Linked DNA regions of Pelodiscus sinensis. The protein of the gene in region 2 purifies or fractionates together with the protein of the main gene of each other region. This does not show direct contact. Links are inferred from orthologs where the notes say so. Each region holds a gene or a part of one and is shown on either strand. Other genes may lie near its edges. The genes, in order: KAT14, ZZZ3 and MBIP.

Region 1 (8,068 bases), on a different chromosome or scaffold from region 2:
GCAGGGCACGAACCAGCCACCTGCTGCCACCCAGCCCTCCGCCTCTTCCCGGGACCAGGCTGGCGGCTCCGGGGAGTCTGCCCAGGTCTGCAAGAGGCGGGCGCCCGCCTGGCCTAGTGCAGACATCGTGGACCTTGTCCACAACCTCTGCACTAGGCACAGGAAAGTGGCCGTCTAGGGCAGGGTAACTTCCAGCCTGGCCACCCAGGAGCAGGTTTGCATGAAAATCAAGGTGGTCCACTGAGACCCCCCGACCCTGAGCTTAGAACGGCCGTACCGGGTCAGACCAAAGGTCCATCTAGCCCAGTAACCTGTCTGCCGACAGCGGCCAACACCAGCTATCCTGGAGGGGATGAACCGAAGACAATGACCAAGCCATTTGTCTCGTGCCATCCATCTCCAGCCTTCCACAAACAGAGGCCAGGGACACCATTTCTGCCCCCTGGCTAATACCACTCCATGGACCCAACCTCCATGAATTTATCTAACTTCTCTTTAAACTCTGTTCTAGTTCTAGCCTTCACAGCCTCCTGCAGCAAGGAGTTTCACAGGTTGACTCTTTGCTTTGTGAAGAAGAACTTTCTGTTATTAGTTTGAAGCCTGCTACCCATTCATTTCATTTGGTGTCCTCTAGTCCTTATATTATGGGAACTAATGAAGAACTTTTCTTTATGCACCCTCTCCACACCACTCATGCTTTTATAGACCTCTATCATATCCCCCCTCAGTCTCCTCTTTTCTATGCTGAAAAGTCCCAGTCTCTTTAGCCTCTCTTCATATGGGACCTGTTCCAAACCCCTGATCATTTTAGTTGCCCTCCCCTCTCCCACCCTCTCTCTTCCCCTCTCCCACCTCCTTTTCCCAATCTCCCTGAGTTTTGTTCAATAAAGAGAGTTTCTATTTTTGAACACACGTGTCCTTTATTTTGTACATCAGGAAGAGGGGCTAGGGAGGGGTAAGTGGAAGGAGGTGAGGGAGGAATGGGGTACGAGCCCCCGATGGGGAGGACTCTGCGGGCTCCTCGGCGTGGAAGCTCTTCTGAAGCCCCTTGATTGACCCCCCCCCCTCTGGATGGCAGCCTGCGGCAAGTGCAGCCGGGCTGATGGCCAAGTGCTGTGATGTGCCGAGTGTGGGCACTCATGGCACTCCAAGCCAGGACCGCTTTGCAAGCGGGGAACCCTTGAGAACTGTCTGTCCGGGGTGGGGGTCGGGTCCCTTTAAGCACAGCCCTCAGCTAGCCTGAGACAGCAGCTCCACGCTCTAAGTCCTAATCTGATGCCCTGCCGGCACTGCTTCCGGTCAGCCTTAACCTCGGTTCAGGGTCCACTCAGTGTGGACATGCTAGTTCGAATTAGCAAAACGCTAATTCTAACTAGTTTTTAAGTCTAGATGCGCTAATTCGAATTAGCTTAGTTCAAATTAACTAATTCGAACTAAGTTAGTTCGAATTAGTGCTGTAGTGTAGACATACCCAGGTGTAGTACCTAATCAGACTAGACTTCAAGTTGACTGTGTCCCTTTAACTTCTTCCTACTGAAATTCTGGCTCCAGTAAAGCCAAATGAAAAAATTCTGGATGACTTCACTGGAAAAAAGATTTCACACTACAGCTTTTGGCAAACTGATCAGCTGAACTGACAAGTATTGACCAAGCTAGAAGAGATCAGTATTTCCTGCCATAAAATGAGCAGTGCTCAGCTAGATCTTGGTACTGAGAAAGGAAAAACTACGGTACTAGGATATGAAGAATGCTAAAAGAGTTTATGTAATGTTAAATGGAGTCACTGGAAAAATAACTTCAGTGTTTGTAACAGAGCTACTGCTACAGGTTAAAACTCTCTTAACCAGGATTCTCTGGTCCAGCAACATCCATGGTCCAGCATGGATGTTGCAGGTAGGTATGTAATCAACTAGTTGACTATCCAATAAGCATATGCTTAGCGGCAGCAAGGGCAGGGGGATGGGAGCAGGAGCCGATGCTGGGAGGAGCTGGCTTAAAAGCCGGTTCCTCCCCAGCACTATCTCCATGGCAGGAGGGGCGGGGGGAGGGGAGAGATGACGACGACGACACGATGACAGCGGGGAACTGGCAGCACTTCCGCCTTTGGAATGTAGCAAGAGCAGGGCTCTTGATGCACTTCAAAAGCAGAAGCACCACGGGGCCAGCGGGGGACTCAAGCAGTCTCTGGCTGGCCCTGTGCTCCCTGCTCTGGAAATGTACAAGAGCCCAGGGGGTTCTATTAAATTCCTGCAAATTCCATCGACTATTCAATTTGTTGATTAATCTAAATTTGACATCCCTAGTTGCAGGACCTGAGAGTCCTGGTGGAGGGCCAGCACTAAGGATCCCTGTGGGGCAAGCAGGGCAGTGGGCTGCCTGCAGGTAGCTGATGGGGGGGGGGCTGCCCAAAGCGTGGTAGTGGGGCTGCCCAACAGAGTTGGGAGACCCGGCAGGTGACTGCCCAGTGGGGCTGGGAGCCCGGCGCACACATGGCTGCTCAATCACACAACACGCAGGGCTGCTCACGGAGCCCTGGTGTGGCGCACGTGGCTGCCCGGACCCCAGCCCAGCGCTAGGTGGCCCGGTGGAGCCCCAGCAGCAATGGTTGCCCAGCAAGTTGGCAGGGCAGCGGGGCCAGCAGAAGGTGGGGAGCTAGGAGGCTAGCGGCCAGGCCAGGGGGCCAGTGGCAGGGGTCCAAAATTGACCTCCTTAGGTCTGGCAAAATCTCTCATCTGGGACCGGTCAGGTCCCAAAGGTGCTGGACCAGGGAAGTCCAACCTGAACTGGCTTTATATTGTTCTGTGAATACTAATCTTAAATTCAGGATACCATGGAACCATTCTTATATACAGAAGACTGAAATCTATTTACACAGCCCACTGAAATGGCAAACCAATCAGGAAAATAATAATAGTTCTTATGTAGCACCTTTCCTTACAAAGGAACTGGCATTATCCCTGTTTTACAGATTGGGAAACGTAGGGTATGTCTACACTACAGCGCTAATTCGAACTAACTTAGTTTGAATTAGTTAATTCAGACTAAAAAACTAGTTTGAATTAGCGTTTTGCTAATTCGAACTAGCATGTCCACATTAAGTGGACCCTGAACCGGGGTTAAGGATGGCCGGAAGCAGTGCCGGCAGGGCATCAGATGAGGACTTAGAGCGTGGAGCTGCTGCCTCAGGCTAGCCAAGGGCTGTGCTTAAAGGGACCCGACCCCCACCCCGGACAGACAGTTCTCAGGGGTACCCCGCTTGCAAAGCAGTCCTGTCTTGGAGTGCCCTGAGTGCCCACACCGGGCACATCACAGCACTCGGCCATCAGACCGGCTGCACTTGCCGCAGGCTGCCATCTGAGGAGAGGGGGCAATTGGGGGCCTGCAGGAGAGCTTCCACCCACAGAAGCCCACAGAGCCAGCCCAGTCCTCCCCATTGGGGGCTCGTACCCCATTCCTCCCTCACCTCCTTCCACTTACCCTTCCCTAGCCCCCCTTCCTGATGTACAAAATAAAGAAAACGTGTGGTCAAAAATAGAATCTCTCTTTATTGAACAAAACTCGGGGAGATTGGGAAAAGGAGGTGGGAGAGGGGAAGAGAGAGGGTGGGAGAGGGGAGGGCAACTACAATGATGAGAGGTTTGGAAGAGGTCCCATATGAAGAGAGGCTAAAGAGACTGGGACTTTTCAGCTTAGAAAAGAGGAGACTGAGGGGGGGATAGGATAGAGGTCTATAAAAGCATGAGTGGGGTGGAGAGGGTGCATCAAGAAAAGTTCTTCATTAGTTCCCATAATAGAAGGACTAGAGGACACCAAAGGAAAGGAATGGGTAGCAGGCTTCAAACTAGTAACAGAAAGTTGTTCTTCACAAAGCAAAGAGTCAACCTGTGGAACTCCTTGCTGCAGGAGGCTGTGAAGGCTAGAACTAGAACAGAGTTTAAAGAGAAGTGAGATCAAGTCATGGAGGTTGGGTCGATGGAGTGGTATTAGCCAAGGGGTAGGAGTGGTGTCCCTGCCCAAAGTTTGTGGAAGGCTGGAGATGGATGGCACGAGACAAATGGCTTGGTCACTGTCTTCGGTCCATCCCCTCCAGGGTCCCTAGGGTTGGCCGCTGTCGGCAGACAGGCTACTGGGCTAGATGGACCTTTGGTCTGACCCAGGACGGCCATTGTAAGCTCAGGACTCAGGGTCGGGGGGTCTCAGTGGACCACCTTGATTTTCATGCACACCTGCTCCTGGGTGGCCAGGCTGGCAGCTCTCCTGCCCTAGACGGCCACTTTCCTGTGCCTAGTGCGGAGGTCGTGGACGAGTTCCACGATATCCGCACTAGACCAGGCGGGTGCCCGCCTCTTGCGGTCCCGGGCAAGCTCCCGGGAGCCGCCAGCCTGGTCCCGGGAAGAGGCGGAGGGCTGGGGGGCATCGGGTGGCTGGCTCGAGCCGTGCCAGGTGCAGGGTCTGCTAGCTGGGTGCTGGCAGGCTTGTACCTGGCACGGGCACCGTAGCCAGCCCGTGCCCCTTTAAGGGGTCCGGGGCCGGGAGGGGGGCAGACAAGTTTCCCTGGTGGTGCCCAGAGTGGCCACCAGGGAAAGCTGGGGAGGGCTAGCCTCCCACTAGTTTGAATTAAGGGGCTACACACCCCTTAATTCGAACTAGTAAGTTCGAACTAGGCTTAGTCCTCGTAGAATGAGGTTTACCTAGTTCGAACTAAGCGCTCCGCTAGTTCGAATTAAGTTCGAACTAGCGGAGCGCTAGTGTAGCGCCTATCAAAGTTAATTCGAACTAACGTCCGTTAGTTCGAATTAACTTTGTAGTGTAGACATACCCTGAGAGATTGAAAGGGGAACTGACAGACACAGGCACAGCAGACCAGTGGCAGAGCTGGGAATATAATCTAGGTCTCCTGATCCCTAGTCTGGTGCTCTATCTACTACACATCACTGCCTCCCATACGTTCAGGAAAATAATATGATTTTTTTTCTCTGAGGAAAAGAACAAATAAACCCACAAAACGCAAGAGATGGAGATAACAGAGGAAATCTTGACTCTTACTTGCTGGTATCCACTTCTGACACTTTTCACAGTAATAGGACATCTCCTCCATCCAGGATGCATCCCCCTCATCACTGTTCAAGGAGTCCCCACTCTGATCGTGGGATAAATCCACTGAAGCCTGATCCTCAGACTCAACAATCAGGAGAGTCTCTCCTTCCACCTCACCCTCCTCCAGCCCTTCTGAAGTTGATGTCCTTGTAGCTTCGTCATCGTGCCGACTCATCAGTCCACTCATGTGAACGTTATTATCCATCCCTTCTTGGCAAGCAGAGGAAGGGATTTTTTTACATTACATGGGGCTCTCCCTCCAGCATTTAAAATACCACCCATATAAGGTGAGCCAGCCAGGTATGAAGCCTTCTACACTATATTTCTGCTCACATGAAAATATTCAAGTTAGAGAATAATTCTGCGTACACACTTCTTAATGTATATAATTTCCTAGACTTGATGACTAGGTAGCTAAAGGTGATGGAAGTAGCTTCCGTTTCCTGAAACACCTAGGAACACTCAAACACAAATCCCTGCTGTCCTTCAGTCCCAACTCTAAAACTTCATGTTTAAGTCTAGGATTGTTGGGACTCTTTTTCCATTAACATCTTGTGTCTCTCTGCTTCAAGTTGCTTGGTCAGAGTAATCTGTTCTTGTAAAAGGCGAATATTTTCCAGTTTACGGCTTTGTCTCTCAAGGTCTCTGACAACTCCTTCGTGCAGCCTCTGAAAATACAAGAGACATGGTTCATTATAGTCGATTGCATGGAACTAACACCCCTTTGCATTCCAACCTCTGTCACAGCACTGCCAAATATATAACTGTTACAAACTTTCAATTCTCTGTTCAAGACACAAGCTACTTTTCGAGTTTAAAATGACTAGAACGGAGCTCTGATAGGTGGATGTTGATAACTACTGGTAACATGCTAGGAAAACTATATTTGTTGGTTCAGCTACATAATCTTCCTATAATGATAAAGTGTTAGACAACTGTAAATATTGTATATTGATCATTTCTACAGTATTACGGAGAGACAGCAATATATCTGTCGAAGATTATGACTTCTCCCCCATCCTTATCAGAATTCAACTAATCTGCCTGAAATATCTCAACTTGTGATCCTCTGCTTGAGCAGAATTAACAGACATTAACATAGACAACATGGAGACTACATTAAAAAAATGAATTAAATGTAAAAGGATTATAACTGAAAGAGAAAAAGTTTTTCCACTTGGTTTATTTTGTGCACTTGACAGCATTTTGTTCTTAATACCTTGAATCCATGCAGAGATCCAAGAATTCAGTGGAGATTCCAATGCATAGGGATCCACTAACGCAGAACTCACTGTGCTTTATATATAGTTAATTTAGCTGTTTCTTCTGTATAGGCAGACCTTGTTCCTGAAACTGGATCCCCACAAGTAGGTCCAACTACTGAATCTGGGCTTTTGTCAATTTCCCTTTTTGTTTATGGGTATTTCGTGTGGGTAATTTGTACAAACAATAGAGGAAAGAAAGGCATATTGAAAACAAGAAAATACATCTGCAAAACTGCAAACATTGATAAAGGAACTATGGGGTAGGAGTGATACTTGAAACTGCTTCTAATTCCTTTGAGATTGACTAGATTTCAAGATGAAGGTGGCACCTTTAACAGAAGATATTAAAATATGACATTTGATTAGGGAAACACATGAAATAGTTGCATAGAAACCAATACTAGAAGAAGCACAGGGTTCTGTCCACATGGATCCAACTGCAGGACCAGGCCCATATTTTGTTACTACCTATGGTCTTGATCCTTTCAAAACTTATAGGTCTGCCTAAATAACTAATTGATATGTGTAAAGCATAAATCTTTGCATGATCAGGATTCATATGTATTCATAGGCACTACAACTGCTGACTGGATGAATGCTGGAAAAAATAATTTATGAATAAATTAATAGCCAAAAAGGTAAATACTTTATTTGATTAATCTGATATTATATAGGCAGGCTTAATAGATCTGAAAATGCATTTGCAAATCATTCATTTTAAAAATTGACCTCAAAAAATAAAATAAACTTTCTAATAGGAAGAGGCATCGCTTCTCACCCAGAAACCAAGTACGTACGCATTTTGAGGGAAATAATGTGTCCCATCTGAATCATGAAGAAAAAATATTTTGTGCAAGAAATATTTTAATCTTGTTTTCAAAAATTATGGAGGCAGACAAAATACATTTCACCCAAAAATGTCAAAATCTCTCTGGAAATTAATTTTATGGGAACAGTTCTTTCCTATCAGTTTCAGTCAATTTAATTCCGATTATAAAATTACTACTGTCCTGATAAACTATTACTTTAGTAGTATAATGAAATGTACTACCATACTATATATACAGAAAAAATGTAGAGATTTTTATGAATGCAGGTTTCAAGCATGTCTCTTGATCCAATAAAATACACTCTTATAACCTACCAGGCTATGCTTTCATTCACTTTAGAGCTATAGTTATATATGTATTTTGCAAAAAATCTTTATGTTTTGTCCCAAATGACAGAGGACATCCTTCAGTACCATCAAAATACATACAAGCAGACTTAGGTGTGGTGTGGTCTATACACATAAGTTGCAACAGTTTGATTTTTTTATATCAGTTTAGGTTCAGTGGTTTTCAAACTATAGGGCGGGACCCTATAGTGGGTCACAATCCCATTTTAATGGGCTTGCCAGGGTTGGCTTAGGTTTGCTGAAGTCTGGAGCTGAAGCCAAAACCAAGTACCACTGCCCTGGCAGAGAGATCAGGTTATAGACCTCCTACCTGGAGCTGAAGCCCTCAGGCTTCAGCTTTGGTCCCATTTGGAGCAGTGGGGTTTGGAAGGACTCAGGCTTTGGTTCCCCCCTCCTGGAATTGTGTAGAAATGCTTGTTGTCAGAAGGGGGTCATGATGCAATGAAGAATAGTGATAGAAATGTAGAGAACCCCGATTTCGTTAAACTGGCACAAGCTTAAATTCACTTGGCTTCTCTCAAATTAGTTC
Region 2 (8,068 bases):
GACATTACAAAATATTGAAAATAGGAAGGAAGGTGGTTTGAAAGACAGTGAACAGGAGAAGGCAATCTCTGTATTAAAGCGTGGCCCAAAATATAAAAAGTTGGACAAGTCCTGACAGAATTGGAACATTCTTAAAACAAAGGAAGAGATGAATTCTTCTACATCATTCAAATTGTTTTAATAAAGGGAAAAAGCTTCCTTTGGTTTTTTTGGAAATCAGGTTGTCATGATCTTTAAAGTCAAATTTATGTTTTTATTTAATACAATAAAGTTTTAATTTAAGGAACACTTAAAATTCCTTTCAATGATATATTTGCAATCATGCAGTGGGCTAAAAAGAAATCTCATATTAACAGAAAGGAAACAAATACAAATGTACTACAGGATTTATGTTCTTAGCATGTGAACCAATGTAAAAAAATCATGTAATTTTCTATTATTTTGTTCCTTTATTAATAACTAATTTGCCACAAACTGTAACAAATCAATATAACAACACAGCATTAAGCCAAAACAATTAAGTATAGAATAGGTCAACTACTTTCACTGATCAAATGCAAACAATCCTAACAATCTAATTATGATTAGACAGTAATAGACTGAAGCATAGTTTTTGTCACCAGGCCACGTGTTGTCCTCATCTTTATTTTGATTACAGATGCCAAAATATGCAACTTAAGTTATATTCTGCTATACTTCAAACTTCACCCACAATCCAGGAGCACGTACAAACATGACAATTTGTCCTCAACTGCCCATCAAACATATGGCAATACACTTAAAAACAGTTTTGACTTTGGTACCAGAAAGAGCTTGAATAAAGTTGCACTAAACAGAGATTAGAGTGATTATGGAAAGAAATGATGTAGAAGAACTATTGAGTTCTTAACTGTATAGATTTGTTTAAAATCATATTAGTCTAGAAAGTATATTATACAGTAGAAAGAAAAACCTTCTTATGTCAAGTTTAATCCTATTTTTAATAAATATATTTCAAAATTAATTTTTAAAACTTTCTTAAACAGGATATAAATGTTTTTATGCAAATAAAATATAGTTTGTACAAAATAGCTAGTATATATGGGCTGCTGGGGCCTGCATGTCATAGAATGCTGGATATTTTTTATTTGTACCTATATCTATATGATATTAAAAGTTCTCTTTTATTAAGTCTGCTCTACTGTGAAAGCGACATTTGAAAAGAGAAGCCATGGCTATCGTGTTCTTAAAAGTTATAGCTATATAAAACTTCCTATAAAACATTATTTATAAGCAAGTTCTCATAAGCATAATGCAAGATTGGTGCTAAAGCAAATGCTGCCAACTTTAAAAAACTACTCATCTCAGATGAGTAAGCTTTCCCTAACAAATCGGAGGACCTATAGCATTATTCTACAGAACATAAGTCTTTAAAACAAATTATGGCCCTTATAATCATAAGGACAACATTCTAGATTTGAATAAAAAGTAAACCAATTAAATGCCACAAAAATGGAGGCTGTGGAAAGAACAGAGACTTCTACTCAGCGTTGTGAGTACTGTGTAGAGCAGGAGGTGGGCAATAATTTTAGATGGGGGGGCCACTTCACTAATTTTTGAAGTGGTACTGGGCTGCCCCAGAAGAGGCGGGGCCAGGATACCTCCATGCTCCCCCTCCCACATACCCTGACTGGCCTGAAGGCGAGGGAGCACGTGCAGTTTTTGCCCCCATCTGAGCCCCTAGAGAAAACTGCCAGCTGTTCTGAAGAGCTGGCAGTTTCTTCTAGGCCAAGGGTGGCCAACCCATGGCTCGCAAGCTGCATGCGGCTCTTCCCTCCCAAAAGTGTGGCGCGTAAAGCCTCCCTTGCGGCTCACGTAGCCCCTCCAAATGGCCCCTGGCTTCCTGTGCTCACGGAGGCAGGGGAGCTGTCCAGCGGCGATTCAAAATGGCATCTGCAAGATGGCTTCGGCTGGCAGGAGCCTGATGCTGCCAAAAAGCCTAAGCCTGTGTTTTTTAAAGGGGCAGCATCTTTTTTTGGTTTGTTTTTTGCTCAACAATTCTGGTGCAGCTCTTCTCATTTTTTCCACCGCTGTTTAAGCTCTCTTTGTTTAGTGGGTTGGCCACCCCTGCTCTAGGCACCTGTCCGGTTACAGGGCAGGAGAAGACTTCACCAGCTCCCCTCACCTCCAGGCCAATCAGGGCCCAGAGGCAGGAGGAGGGATCCAAGTCTCTCGCTCCCTGTCCCCACCCTGCAATTTAAAGTGCTGCGCGCCCTTGACAGGTTGGAGGAAACCTCATGCACTCCCTACCCGAGCCCTGCAAGGAGCACATGGCACTTTCACTCTAAGCGCCACATGCCCCTTGCAGGGCAGGAGAAGACATCACACACTCCCCTGCCCCCAGGCCAATCAGAGCCCGGGGGCGGGAGGAGCACGCAAAGTCTTCAAATTCTTACTAACCAGATGCTCATACAAAATAGATACTCTGGGCAGACGGGGAAGGAACTCTGACAGAAATCAAAGCATCTTCCCATTGTCCAGCAGGTGGAATGGACAGACTAGATCTCTCAATAGAGCTTTGTCCTTAGGCATCAATGATAAAGATCCTTCTTCCATACTTAACTCTGTAGTACATTTGGTGTTCTAGATAAGTGTCTGGTAAATTTTTCAGATTTTGCAAATGTTTAATATCAGAAAATCTATTTAAGCTTAATTAGTCCTTAATAATTACACTATTTGAAATAATTATAATACTTAAAGAAATATACATTTTATACATTACCGAGGCAAAATAATTAACTTCATTTTTAATTACAGCAAAAGAGAACTCAGAATGGTGACAATTACAGTACTGTACTAAATTACTACTACACCCACTTGAAATAGAAACACACTGAAGGATCATATTAAAAAAATATATTCCTATCTGAGTCCTAGTCTGCTACTACTTACCCCAAACATAGTTGCACCATTCAATAGAATGAAAGAATGTATTGTGCAAGGGTTGCAAGATACAGCCCAAGATTGGGCCCAAAAATATTTCCTTTCAAAACTACTTATTTTATAAATCTTGGAAGCAACAAAATGAAAAGCCTTCATGTGTAGCAGGATCCAACTTGCTCCAAGTCATACTGACAAGACAGAATCTGGACTCCCACTGAAATCAAATGGAGTTTTGACATTCATTTGATGGGGGCCAGGATTTCCTCAGATATCTGCAGCAGAACCAAGATGACCTTGGTCTCCATGCTCTCTATCTTGTACTTTGTGAAAATAGCAAACATCTTAGCATATACTTTTCTACATAATAAAATATGTAAAACTATTTTTTTCCCACTTCAAGAGCTTAAACACATCAGAAGCAAAAACTTGGAAAAGTGAATAATAAACAAGATTAAACTAACACTACTAGAAAAAACACAAACAAAAAAAGTGTGCTATCAAAAGCTTGCCAACTGAATATCTAACTGGAACTAAATAATAAACCAGAATTCTACCAGCTAACATAAGTTTCTCAATAACTGATATGCTCCATAAATCCTGGCTTAAATAAGTGTTACATGTGCAGAAATGCCAGGAGTTATGTGGACATTCAGAACTATAACAAGGCATGTCGCAATTCTAGCAAAGAAGAACTGTCAAGGGAGTAATGGGTAACCAGAGATGAAACATAACAGGGATGAAACAGGACAAGAGTAGGACCACATGCAAAACCCTGTTTATATTAAAGCAATAGGGACTACTGTAGATTTGGAATGCTTGGGACTACAGACTATTATTTTCTTTACTATCCAATAGTAGTCACAACGTGAAAGGCACTTTTCAAATATGAGGGAAAGTGTGTTTCAGGTACAGCCATCCACAGCAGTATAGTTAGAGGGGAGGTCATTTCTGCAGTAACTAGGACCTCTGTCCAGTTTATTGAGACTTTTCTCCCTCACCCATCACAATCATGATAATGACACACAACCTATAAACTAGAAGTAGAGGGGGTGCCCTCAGAGGCATCACAGTGGAAACATGCAAGGAGCGCATGAATCCAGGAATGAAGGACAAAGTGGGGTCACCACCTGAAAGAACAAAGCAGTGCTGGGAGCCAGGTCGACACAGGGGAAGAGCATTACTGCAGGTTCTGATTTCCAGCAGCGACCAGAGCACGTAGGCACTTTGTAGAGACAAAAGAGGTGTTTGGGGTGCGTAGGGCACTGCTCAGGGAATGGCCCGAGTTGCTACAGGGCAGGAGGGCATGGTAAGAGCCCAGCAGGTCTGGTTTGTCCGAGCACAATGAGAGGTGCTGGGGCAGGCAGGGCTGTCTGAGAAAGTTATCGGGGCAAGGCGGTGGGGCAGGCAGCAGGAGATGCTGGGGGCGGGGAGGAGAACAGCCAATAAGCCACAGGGATACGGGGGGCAGCACAGGGAGAGCAGGTGAGCACATATGCGGAGCCACAACGGTTGCCACACAGGCCCAGCGGGCGCTGGTCCGACCGCCTGGGGCGCCCAGCCCGCCCCCGTGAGCTCGGAATCAAGTCGGGTAGGAGGAGGCTGGTCCCAGGGTCCCCGCCCCCCGAACCCCAGTTACCATTACCCAGCAAGCCCAGCGCCGCGCCGCCATCCTGCTGCCGGCCATCTCCCACGGGAAATGCACAGCCTCGCGAGAACTCCCTCACTCCCCTTTCCCTCCTCGTCTCATGCGGGCCCCTCCCCCACCACAGCTGCGCTGGGAATCAACATGGCGGTGGCGCCGCGCACGTGTCCCGACCCCGCAGCAACCACCTTGCACCCGCGGCGCGCGCGCACACGCACGCACGCACGCACATGTCCACGCACGCGACAGGAGGGAGGGAGGTGGAGCCGATGCGCAGGCGCAAGAGTTGCCTTGCCGATCCGGCCCCAAGCTGTTGGGATTCGAACGGGGCGCGCTGGTCACGTGGGAATTTCCCCCTCCTCTCCCCCCCCTCCTGCGGGCGCCGAACTCGGCATCATCCGGGTCCCCCCTTTCTCTTGTGCCTAGACCTCACCTGGCTCCCGCTATCTCGCGCGCACGGAGCCTGCCGGCAGAGGCGCCGCTTCCCCTGCTCGTTCCCTCTGCGCCGCGCACCAGGCAGCGGCGGCGGCTTCGCTCCGCACAGCGCCTGCTCCCCCCTCAGCGCGGCGGCGGCGGCTCCTTCCGCTTCCTTCCCCTCCCCCCGCTGCAGCGGGGACCAGCTCCCTGCAGCTCCGCCTGCTGGTCGCTGGGGGAGGCGGCCCGTCGCAGCCTACGCTCGTGGGGTGAGGGCCGGTACATGCCCCCGGCGCAGCTGGGGCGCGAGGCGGGACTCGGCGGCTCGTCTCCCCCAGCGGATATTCCCTGCCGGGGGGGCAGGCCGGCCGGCTCTGCCCACGGAGGCGGGCCCCGGGCCGGGCCTGACTTGGGCCATGCGAGGTGGAGATGGTGGAAGCAAGAGGTGCGAGGGTCGGGCCAGAACGGGTGCGTTCCCCGCTCTCTTCACCCGCCCCCCTCCAGCGCCTGCAGGCCCACGGCCCTGCCCGCCCCAGCCCGAGGACGCGGTGCCAGCCGTTCCCCAGGCAGGCAGCTCTGGCTCCTGGGCTTCTACACTGTGTTGACCCTTTGTCATAAGCACGTGACCAACTTTTGGGGTCTTGCAGGTTTGTGTCCGTTAGAGAGAGAAATTGATGGGCCAGGTATATTTTGGCCCACCCCTGTTGGCTTCCCGAGGATGTACAAAGCGTCCTGTTTCCCAGGGTTGTAGTAGTAGAAAAGAGTAAGGGAGTTTCCTTGCTCAGCAATCCGCAAGCCTGCCTGTCCAGTCTCTTCTCTGCTCTAGGAGTTTTGTGTGTCTGCTACTTCTCAGGGCCACTTCTGTCCCTATCTGCTGGCTTTCTTCTCCATCTGTACTTAGCTTGCTCCCCTAGCTTCTGCATTTGCTATAGTATCAGAGAACACATCATTCCACAGAGGTTAGCTTCTGCACAAGCATTTGCCATATGGCCCATTGCTTTGGGCAGTGTGGTAGCTATTTTTTGCAACTATGTCACTACATAAAATAGCTTCATTGCTCCTTTCATGGAGCCTGAAAAACGGGTGCTTAGATTAAAACTAATTTGTGATTGTAGCTGAAAGACCCACTTGATGGGAGCCACTAAACATCTTTCCCGCATAACAATATCATCTTTATCTGTGACCTTTTCCAGAACAAGAAGGTTAACTTCATCACTACTCACAAAGAACAATAGTTCTGCATCCTGTCCCTTCATATGGTATCCAAACTGATATTCCCAACCTTTTCTCCAAGTTATTTTCAATCAGCTCCTATCTGACGGAAGTCAGTGAAAAATCTCCAATGGGAGCTGTACCTGTTCTGTGTGTTTTGCATCTAAGGTGCTGTCTTCAGGCAGGTCTGATGTAACTTTTATTGATCTCTTCTATAGTTGCAATTAATTACTTTATAAAATGTTAGCAGAACACTACATTTAGTCTGTAGAGTTCTTTGAGGGGGGGGGGTCAACAAATGTGGATAAGGGGGATCCAGTGGATATAATATACTAAGATTTCCAGAAAGCCTTTCACAAGGTCCCTCACCAAAGGCTTTTAAGTAAAGTAAGTTGTCATGGGATAAGAGGGAATGTGCTTTCATGGATTGATAACTGCTTAAAAGACAAGAAACAAAGGGTAAGAATAAATGTGAAGTTTTCAGAATAGTGAGAGATGACTAGTGGTGGCCCCTAAGCATCGGTTCTGGGACCAATCCTATTCAACTTATTTATAAATGATCTGGAGAAAGGGGTAAATAGCGAAGTGACAAAATTTGCAGATGATACCAAACTGCTCAAGATAGTTAAGTCCAAAGCAGACTGTGATTAGGTAACGAAATGGCAAATGAAATTTAATGTTGATAAATGTAAAGTAATACACGTTGGAAAAAATAATCCCAACTATACATACAACATGATGGGGACAGATTTAGCTACAACTACTCAAGAGAGAGATCTTGGAGTCATTGTGGGTAGTTCTCTGAAAACATCCACTCAGTGTGCAGTGGCAGTCAAAAAAGAAAATGTTAGGAATCATTTAAAAAGGAATATAAAATAAGACAGAGAATATCTTATTGCTTCTATATAAAACCATGGTACGCCCACATCTTGAATACTGCATACAGATGTGGTGCCTCATCTCAAATGAGATATATTGGCATTGGAAAAGGTTCAGAGAACAGCAACAAAAATCATTAGGAGTTTGTCACGGGTCCCATATGAAGAGGGATTAAAAAGACTTGGACTTTTCAGTTTAGAAAAGAGGAGACTAAGAAGGGATAAAATAGAGGTATATCAAATCATGACAAGTATGGAAAAAGTGAATAAGTAACATTTATTTACTAATTTCCATAATATAAGAATTAGGGGTCACCAAATTAGATTAATAAGTAGAAGGTTTAAAACAAACAGAAGGAAGTTTTTCTTCACTCAGCACACAGTCAAACTGTGGAACTCCTTGCCAGAGAATGCTGTGCAGACCAGGACTTTAGCAGAGTTCAAAAAAGAGCTAGATAGATTCATCAAGGTTAGGGCCATCAATATCTATTAGCCAGGATGGGTAGGAATGGTGTCCTTAGCCTCTGTTTGTCTGGAAATGGATGACAGGAGAGAGGCAATGTGATGTCCTGTTGCATTCACTTCCTCTGGGGCATCTGGCATTGGCCACAGACAGGATACTGGGCTAGATGGACCTTTGGTCTGATCCAGTATGGTCATTTTTATGTTCTAAAGAATGCAAATAAGTATGGTACTTTACTAGTATCACACCACCTCTCCATGAAAGCTGTCCACTTTACAACCAGAAGCTTCTACTTGGCATTCCTGGTTAATCCCAGGTTGATTATATTGCAGAAACACAATATAGAAATTAACAAATGTGGGGATTATTATGTTGGAGTAGAAGCAACTCAATAGATAGGATGCAACAGGGTTACCACTTAATGCCAAATTTCCAAACATCTGAAATCCAGTTAGCATTGTGAAAATTAGTATGTCAATTCAAGACCCCAGCACAGAATTTATGGTGCAAATAAGAGGTCATGATGACTGCCCAAAC
Region 3 (8,068 bases), on a different chromosome or scaffold from region 2:
GTAAAATGGGTTTAATTACCAGTATATAAAAATAAACTATGGCCTTGATTCTGAAACACACTGAGTAACTTTTAGTCTAAAAACAATCTAAAGTTACATTTTCTTTTGCAAGAAGTCTCCATAAATAATCTTTACTAAACCGTACGTTAAGCAAAATGTAGTCTATGTAGCAGAACTTTATCCACTCCATTAAACCTATTTAAAAATCAAAGCTTAAACTTTCTATGCAATTGAACCATTGCAAAACCAAATTACATACCATGAGATTATACTCCTTGGCGAAAAAATGATGCATAATTTACAAATATGCAGGTATTGAAGTTAGCTTTTACAAACTGTGTTGATCATGCAGCCTATTAAACCTCTAAATAATATGCATGTTTGTAAAAATAATTTTACAGTACACTTTAATAAACACTAATGAAATAAATGCATACTCTTCATTTCAACCTCTATTTTTATTTCAGTGAAACTTGTTCTCTCAGGCATGATCCTAAGAAATAGGAAGCACTTGGTAACTCTCACCAAAACTAAAGAGGTTGTTTTCCAATCAAATAAGGCATTAGAGATTCTCCAAAAGTGAATGAAGAGCTCTGTACTCTGGCATAATTCTTATTTAAATTAACAGAGGTTGTATGACATAGCCACACTCAGAATCAGGTCCAAAATTCCTAATTCATTGACATACTTGTAAGACTAGGTCAATATGATGCTCGCAAATGGTGCAAGCTCCCAGTTTAAAAAAAGAAAACTAGACCACAGGTAGATAGATAATTGTGTTTACATGCCAAAAGCCAGAATACCTTTAACATATACCCTCCACAAAGTGTGGGTCTCCTAATGGCATCAAATATGGGCAAGAAAACAGAATATATATATTTAGTTCTTGAGGGGGTTTTTTTTTTTAAAGGGCTGATAATTGAAGATTGAAATGAGCAAAAATACATCGAATTCAGAGCATACATAGCGAGAATCAAATGTGAATAAAGTAAACAGAGTGCAAGCAATACATTGGGAGACAAAGAAGTTAAATATTAAACTACTTTGCATACTTGCTGTAAAAACAAGAACCACAGTAAGTAGTATACTTAAAATATGACCCTGATCCTTCCGCTTTAAGTAGGGAACATTCCTATTCCTGTTCTACTTGAGTAAATGTGTGACCCTAAGCCAATATGAAGGACAGAAAGAAGGGGACTCACCAATTACTATAGAAGCAGAAAAACTAGTGAAATAATAAGTCTGTATTTTTCTTCTTAGTCAGCATCAAAATTCTAAAAACTAACAGTCACAACAAGTTCAAGCTTTCCATTTCTTGTTTCAGTTAGATGTAATATATCAAGTATTATTAGTTAGAATAAAATACTTCTGTTTTAAATGTTTTTTTGGTATTTAATCTGTGTGTATTACATCAGGAAAATTCGTGTTTTCGGAAACATGCTCATTCCGAACATTTTATTTACATAGTTTCACTTTCTTGGGTACATTTTATTTAGTTCATGAGATTGTTTATCTGTATCTATGGTGCCACCCGGGTGTACATGCATACCCAGTTTGTGCTACATGTTTCCATTAAAAATATACAGTACACATTATTTTTTATATTGTTAAGTACAGTTTCTATTACCCATGGGAGAATTTATACCATGTATTATAGATTAAAATGCATACTCTTCAATCTTCCCTTAGCAATCCATCTTTTCAAATAGTCACAGATACAGTCATATGCTTTACTTGATTTTTGAGGGCTCCTATTTAGGTAGCTCAAAGTGTGGAAACCTTGCCAGATTTCTGAATGGGAATAACTTTAGGATAAACAGTTAAAAATGTAAGTGAAAAGGTTGGGGGGTTATTTGTAGTCATGCTTTAGTCACGAGTAAAGGATAACCCCTATCACCATATAATGTACACTTTTTGTATGTATTAATTTGCTGTTCAGTACAAATTAATCTGTCACATAAATGTATCTGCTTGCCTTCAAAGCACTTGTAAGGACTGTGATAAACAGAATGTAATTTTGTAGTTTCTGCACCTACTATACTCTCACTGGCTGACAGTCTATTTTGTGGTAACTTAAAGTCACGCCATCACAAAAGATAACCCTACGGCTCGAAACAATAACAGACTAGCAATTTTTAGATAAGATGTCCCTGTTGTGGAGGAAAACCACTGTAATTAAATTCTACTAAATCAGAATGTGGACCTTGATACACGTGTGCCACTAGGCCCAGAATTTAAAAGCTAAATTTCAGGTAACCGTGAAGTACTGAATAAGGGACAGAGCTTAACCATTAAAAAAAAAAAAAAAACTACACATTAACTGCAAGGATTTAAACTGTTACATAGGACGTATCATCGCTAGCATCATATACCTACTTTTCTTTAAGTATATAAGGAGCTGGTATATATATATTAATTATACATACATACATACACGTGGTTCTGTAGTGCTGATAAGCACAAAGAACAACACTCTTTTAGAGTAACATGCATATAGCAGTAGTTACAGAATGTAAGTTTTTTCTTCATCCACTCAATTGCTGTGATGAGCGATGACTTGTGGAAAATGTTGTCCACAATAAAAGGAATACTATTATGTAATGATAGTGTGATACACCTAATACTTAGCACTTTACTGCCTCTTAGCACTGTATGAACATTAACCAATCCATACAGTGTTTCTTCTAGAGAGACAGAGTGCAGTTATCCATCTTAAAGATAGGAAAAATAAAAAGGCTAATGCCCGAGTTTTCAATCCCTTTATTTTGGGTATTTCAATATTGAGTGCTTAGATAGCTATGATGCAATTGCTATGCACCTCTGATAATTGTAGCACCCACTTGAAATGGCAATAAAGACAAGACTTGTTTTTGCCAATATCAAAAAATGTCACTGTTTAGTGGTAGACTGAAGAATAGTTGGGGAAAGTAGATATCTAGATTAAGAAAATATTTCAAGTTGTATACATTTCTTTGTCACTCACTGATCAGATGCAGCTTCACACACTGGGCTCCACACACTTGTGCATGGTTTAATTTGAGGGAAAAAACTTGATTTTAATGGGCTCATGAGCTGTCAGATTGGGATTTTCAGGATTGTAAACCATTTAGGACAAGGACTGTGTCTGGGTTTAGACCCTGATCTTCATAAGGACCTCTGAGTACTATGCTAATATCACTACTAAATGACAGTGGACTCTCCTCAGCTCTAAAAATAGGCCTTTACTTTTTAAAATCTTTAAAAAACCCTGAAACTGAAGCCAATTTTAAAAATCTGGCCCAGCAAAATTTTCTTATATTCCACAGCAGCAAAGTCATGGGCTGTCCCGAGCCAAAAATTTCAGTAGCTCTAACTTTAGGTGCCTTTTTTTTTCAAAGTTATAATAGACTATGAAACTTATAATGGTTTGTGGACACCACTCATAATCAGTAACCTCTTTTGTGTGATACAATCTCCACACTTTGTCACAGGAAAAATATTTCCTTTGTAAGTGAGTTCACAGGTAACAGTCACCTTTTTAAAGCCATAGTTAAAAGCAACACATTTGCTTTGCTATTAGGGTGTGTCTAGACTACCTAGTTTTGTCGACAAAAGTGGACTTTTGTTGACAAAACTATACCAGCATCTACACTACCGCTGAGTTCTATCGACATAACGTCGACAGAACTCAGCAGTTTTGTCGACGCTGGTATACCTCATTTTACGAGGCATAACACCTTCTGTCGACAGAACTCTGTCGACAGAAGGTGTTATTGCCTGTAACATTGCGTCCAGACTATGGAGTTCTGTCGACAAAGCAGCTTGCTTTGTCAACAGAACTCAATGTGTCTGGACGCTCTTTGTCTACAGAAGTTTTATCGACAGTATCTGTCGACAAAACTTCCGTCGACAAAACGCGGTAGTCTAGACGTACCCTTAGTATGAAATGGCAATACGAGTGTGCATGCCATCCATCACTCATGCAGCAGCAAGACATTTGAGCTTTGAAAAACTTACAAATAGTCTAGTAGCATCTTAAAATTTAACAAAACATGTAGATGGTATCATGATCTTTTGTGGGAACAACACTTCTTCAGATGACAGAAGTGAGCTATGCCCACAAAAGCTCATGATACCATCTACATGCTTTGTTAGTCTTTAACTTGCTACTTGACTATTTTTTTTTTTTAAGTTTTTTCTGTTACAGACTAACTTGGCTAACCCTCCGAAGCATTTGATCTTTGGTAACTGCAGGTACCAAACATGATGAAAACAATCCCAGATGAAAAGATCTCTCCCAAATAAGGGAGCTTTTGCTGGATTATGAATTTCAAATCGATTTCTAACCAAACAAATCCAAATTTCCTAGTCCCCGCCCTTGCTGCCTTCAGCTACTTCTTTCATCCCCTCTCCCTGGACAGCCGCTGGTCCCCCAAAAGGAGTCTCTCTCCCCACCGCCACGCCCCTACCTATAACTCTGCTGCTCCCGCCCCCAAACAGGGCCCACCTCCTGTGCCCCCACCAGCAGAGCTTCGCACTCCCCCCGCCAATGCGGAGCTACTGCTACTGCCACCTGCCCCGGGCAGGGACTTCCCGCCCTCACTGACCTGCCCCGCCAGCCTGGGCAGGGAGCGCAGGACGCCGCTCAGCACTTCCCTGGCGGCGGGGGCGGCGAGAGTCTCTGTCGTGTGGGCCTCGGGCTGGCGCGGGCTGGGCTCCCCCACGGCGGCCATGACACCCGGCCAGGCCGCTGGCTGCGGGGACCATGCCTCCGCCTCCCGCCGCCGTCGCTCTGGGATGACGAGCAGCCCAGCCTCGGAGGAGGCCTCAGCGCGGCGGAGAGCCGGGTCTGTCCCCGCCCACAGGACTGACTGACGTGAAGAGCGGCCAATCCTCGGCCCCGCTCTTGGGCCAGCTCTGCAGCGACGGGCAGCGGGCCTGGGCTGCGCTGCGCTGCGGGGAAGAGAACGGTGCGCTGGCAAAGCCCGTCCCGCCTGGGGGCCGCGCCGGGCCTGAAGCTGCGAGTGCGTGGCCTGGCTCCTAAATGTGACTGCCCTGGAGTGCGGGGGCGGGACCCTCGGGGCTTCAAACCCCTGGGACAGGCCCTCCGAGACTGGCTGTAAAGTTGTGAGCTTTCAGCGCCAGCCCGCGGGGTTCTTTGCTTCCCGAGTGGAAGGACTGCAGGGGCGCACTGCCAGGCTCCTCTCTGCAGCCATGCAGACTGGAAACGTACCTGGTTTTAGGTGAAAGATGAGCTCCCCAGTAATAACCTCGGGGCTTTAGAGAAACACCGAAGTACATAGTCCTGGTTTTTGTTTCAGCTACACCAGACTAACACGGCTCCATTTCTATCCCCGAAGTACTGAGAGACTTGTGACAAAATAGACAATGTTGCTTTGGGATCTTTTGGGTTCCACGTTTGCGGGTGCAGTAGGCATGGCTGAATTGGCTCTCTACTTTGACAGTGCAATTTGGGGTTGGTAAATCTAGCTTGACTTTTTAGTTTGGATCAGCTGCCTGGTCTTAGAATCATAGAACCATAGAGCTGGAAGAGACCTCAGAAGGTCATCAAGTCCAGCCCCCTGCTCTAGGTAGGACCAATCCCAACTAAATCAACCCGGCCAGGGCTTTGTCAAGCTGAGACTTAAACACCTCTATGGATGGAGACTCCACTACTTCCCTAGGTAAAATCTATCTCAACCACATTTCTTTCCTGTATAGACCAATGTCACACCTTGCTTCCTTCACCTGCTTCTTTCATAGCAGTTTCAGAGATACAATACTTTGGATTCACCTTCATTATTTTGAGAGCATGGTGGGGAGTGGTGGCTTGTCACAGGCCAGCTGTAGAGTAGGGATGTTAAAGACTAGTCGACTATCTGATAAGCATTTGATATTCCACACCCTTGCTTCCTCTACAGGCATTTGATATCTCTTCCCCCCCCTCCCCCCTTGCTGCCTCTATAGAGGCGGGGGGGGGGGGGCGGAGAGAGGGGGGATGGGTACTTCAAAGTGGCAGCTGCTTTGAAACCCCAAGGTGGTGTGGCAGAGGGGCAGTCGCTGCACAGCTGATCTGTCAGCTCTGCATTTCAAAGGGGTAGCCATGGAGCTCAGGATCAGCTGAGGACTTCCCAGCTGACCCCAGGTTTTGCACAGCACTTCCCCAGAACTTAGTGGCATGCAGCATAGCATGGAGCCCGGGCTCTGTGGGGGATTGAGTCCCCTACTGACCCAGGGCTCCATGGCTTTGAAATACACAAGAGTCCCTGATGGACTCTTGTGCATTTCAAAGCAGGCACTCCCTGTGCAACCCAGAGTCAGCGGGACTTCTCACCGGCCCAGGCTGTAGCAAAGTTCTGCATTCCTTCTTTGAAATGTACAAGATCCCCAGCCGGTACTAGAAATTCCATTGACTAGTCAACTACCGTATTTTCCGGCGTATAAGACGACTTTTTATGCTAAAAAACATCCCCCAAAAATCGGGGGTCGTCTTATACGCCGGGTATACAGGCAGTCCCCGACTTGCAGGTACGAACAGGGCTTTTCTCGCCCCGGAGGACACAGACTGCGGGACCTCGCGGTCCCGCCGCCCGTGTACTCAGGCGAGAAAAGCTGTTCCACGTCTCCCTGGTCTGCAGACCAGGAAGACGCGGAGCAAAGCTGCGGAGGGGCTCCGGCAGCGGGGCCTGGGCTGCCCCGCTGCCCAAGCCTCTCCGCGGCTTTGCAAAGCCTCGGGGGAAGCCGGCAGTGGGGCAGCCCAGACGCGCCGCGGCTGTCCCACTGCCGGCGTCCTCAGAGGCTTTGCTCCCGGTGTCCCTGGTCTGCTGGAGACGGTCCCCAGCAGACCAGAGGCACCGGGAGCAAAGCCGGAGAGGCAGAGGGGCGCTGGGGTGCTGCCGGTTGGTCTCTTAAGGGGGGTAGTCTTATATGGCGAGTATAAGACGAAAACCTATCTTTTAACTAGAAAATTAGGGGGTTGTCTTATACGCCTAGTCGCCTTATACACCGGAAAATACGGTAGTCATTTAACCACATTTTAACATCCTTAGTGCAGAGGTTAGTTTCGTGTACTGTTGAGTTTCAATGTAAATAAACCTGAGCCCCACCATCCTCTCCACGAGCATGATTCACTCAGCATAGCTTCATCCTCATTCCCTCAAAGCTTTGCCTACGTTGTTGTCCTGCTCCACCACAGCCTTTCCCACCTGCACTTGCTTTGCTTCTCTTTCTCCCAGCCTTTCACTCTGTGGCACTGACAGCTTCAATCTTCCAGTGCTGCAGTTTCATCCACCCATATAACATACTGCCATCACTATGCCATTGCACTCAAGTGCCTTGCAAGCATGCATATACACTTCATTATAGCATAATCTAGCATACCCAGAGCTTTTATTTATATTACAGTAATGTCTAGAGGCTACAGTTAAGAATGGGCCTTTTGCTAAGCCCAATTGAAACTCTGGTAAGAGCTGATTTATGTTCCAGCGAGCTGAATAGAAAAGCCAGATGTAAGGTGAAAGAAAGGGCTATACAAGAAGATTAAACAAAATGATACTTGTAAACAACATGTTAATTACACATTTCGTTAGCTGTTGCTTGCTTAAGGTTTTTTTATTGTTTTTGTTGGTTTATAGGATGGGAGTAGGTAAGGAGGGAAAGCAGGAAAGAACTAAAAGGAAAGGATAGGGGTACTGAGGCTATGTCTAGACTGCAGAGTTTTTCTGGGATATCCAGAAAAACTCTGCCGCATCCAGGGAATGTGTCCACTTTCTTTGAAGTTTCCAAAAAAGTAGGCGCATTCTTTTGGCATCTCTGTATTCCTCATTTTATAAGGAATAAGTGATGTGCTGAAAGAGGAGGTTTTTCTGACATTTGACCCCATGTAGATGTGCCAAATGTTGGAAAAGCCTCTTCTGAAAAAACATAAAAAGGTACGCAAATTGTGTTTTGCAATTTGCGTATCTTTTTCCGAACCTCCCTCCCTCCCCAGTGTAAAGATAGTCTCTGAGGTGACAAAAAGACAGAAAGAAACTGCAGTATGAATGAATCTGAAATTAAAAGTGAGAGAGGAAAATAACAAGTAGTTAAT

Evidence for each region.
Region 1: the proteins of ZZZ3 (region 2) and KAT14 purify together in Homo sapiens (affinity purification with mass spectrometry; 4 studies listed by BioGRID and IntAct, with this or other methods). This does not show direct contact. The link is inferred for Pelodiscus sinensis from reciprocal best matches to the Homo sapiens genes ZZZ3 and KAT14.
Region 3: the proteins of ZZZ3 (region 2) and MBIP purify together in Homo sapiens (affinity purification with mass spectrometry; 4 studies listed by BioGRID and IntAct, counting the BioPlex papers as one, with this or other methods). This does not show direct contact. The link is inferred for Pelodiscus sinensis from reciprocal best matches to the Homo sapiens genes ZZZ3 and MBIP.

Annotation. Positions count from the first base shown.
Region 1 is NC_134713.1:193,863,446-193,871,513, reverse strand, and holds the start of KAT14 (cysteine-rich protein 2-binding protein), read right to left. Parts: upstream 5,303-8,068; coding exon 5,047-5,302; intron 1-5,046. Other genes in the region: protein PET117 homolog, mitochondrial, read right to left, coding at 5,616-5,765. UniProt on the Homo sapiens protein: Component of the ATAC complex, a complex with histone acetyltransferase activity on histones H3 and H4. May function as a scaffold for the ATAC complex to promote ATAC complex stability. Has also weak histone acetyltransferase activity toward histone H4.
Region 2 is NC_134719.1:25,183,148-25,191,215, forward strand, and holds the start of ZZZ3 (ZZ-type zinc finger-containing protein 3), read right to left. Parts: upstream 5,175-8,068; 5' UTR 4,998-5,174; intron 4,925-4,997; exon of another isoform or gene 4,559-4,924; intron 1-4,558.
Region 3 is NC_134714.1:47,307,069-47,315,136, reverse strand, and holds the start of MBIP (MAP3K12-binding inhibitory protein 1), read right to left. Parts: upstream 4,849-8,068; 5' UTR 4,713-4,848; coding exon 4,587-4,712; intron 1-4,586. UniProt on the Homo sapiens protein: Inhibits the MAP3K12 activity to induce the activation of the JNK/SAPK pathway. Component of the ATAC complex, a complex with histone acetyltransferase activity on histones H3 and H4.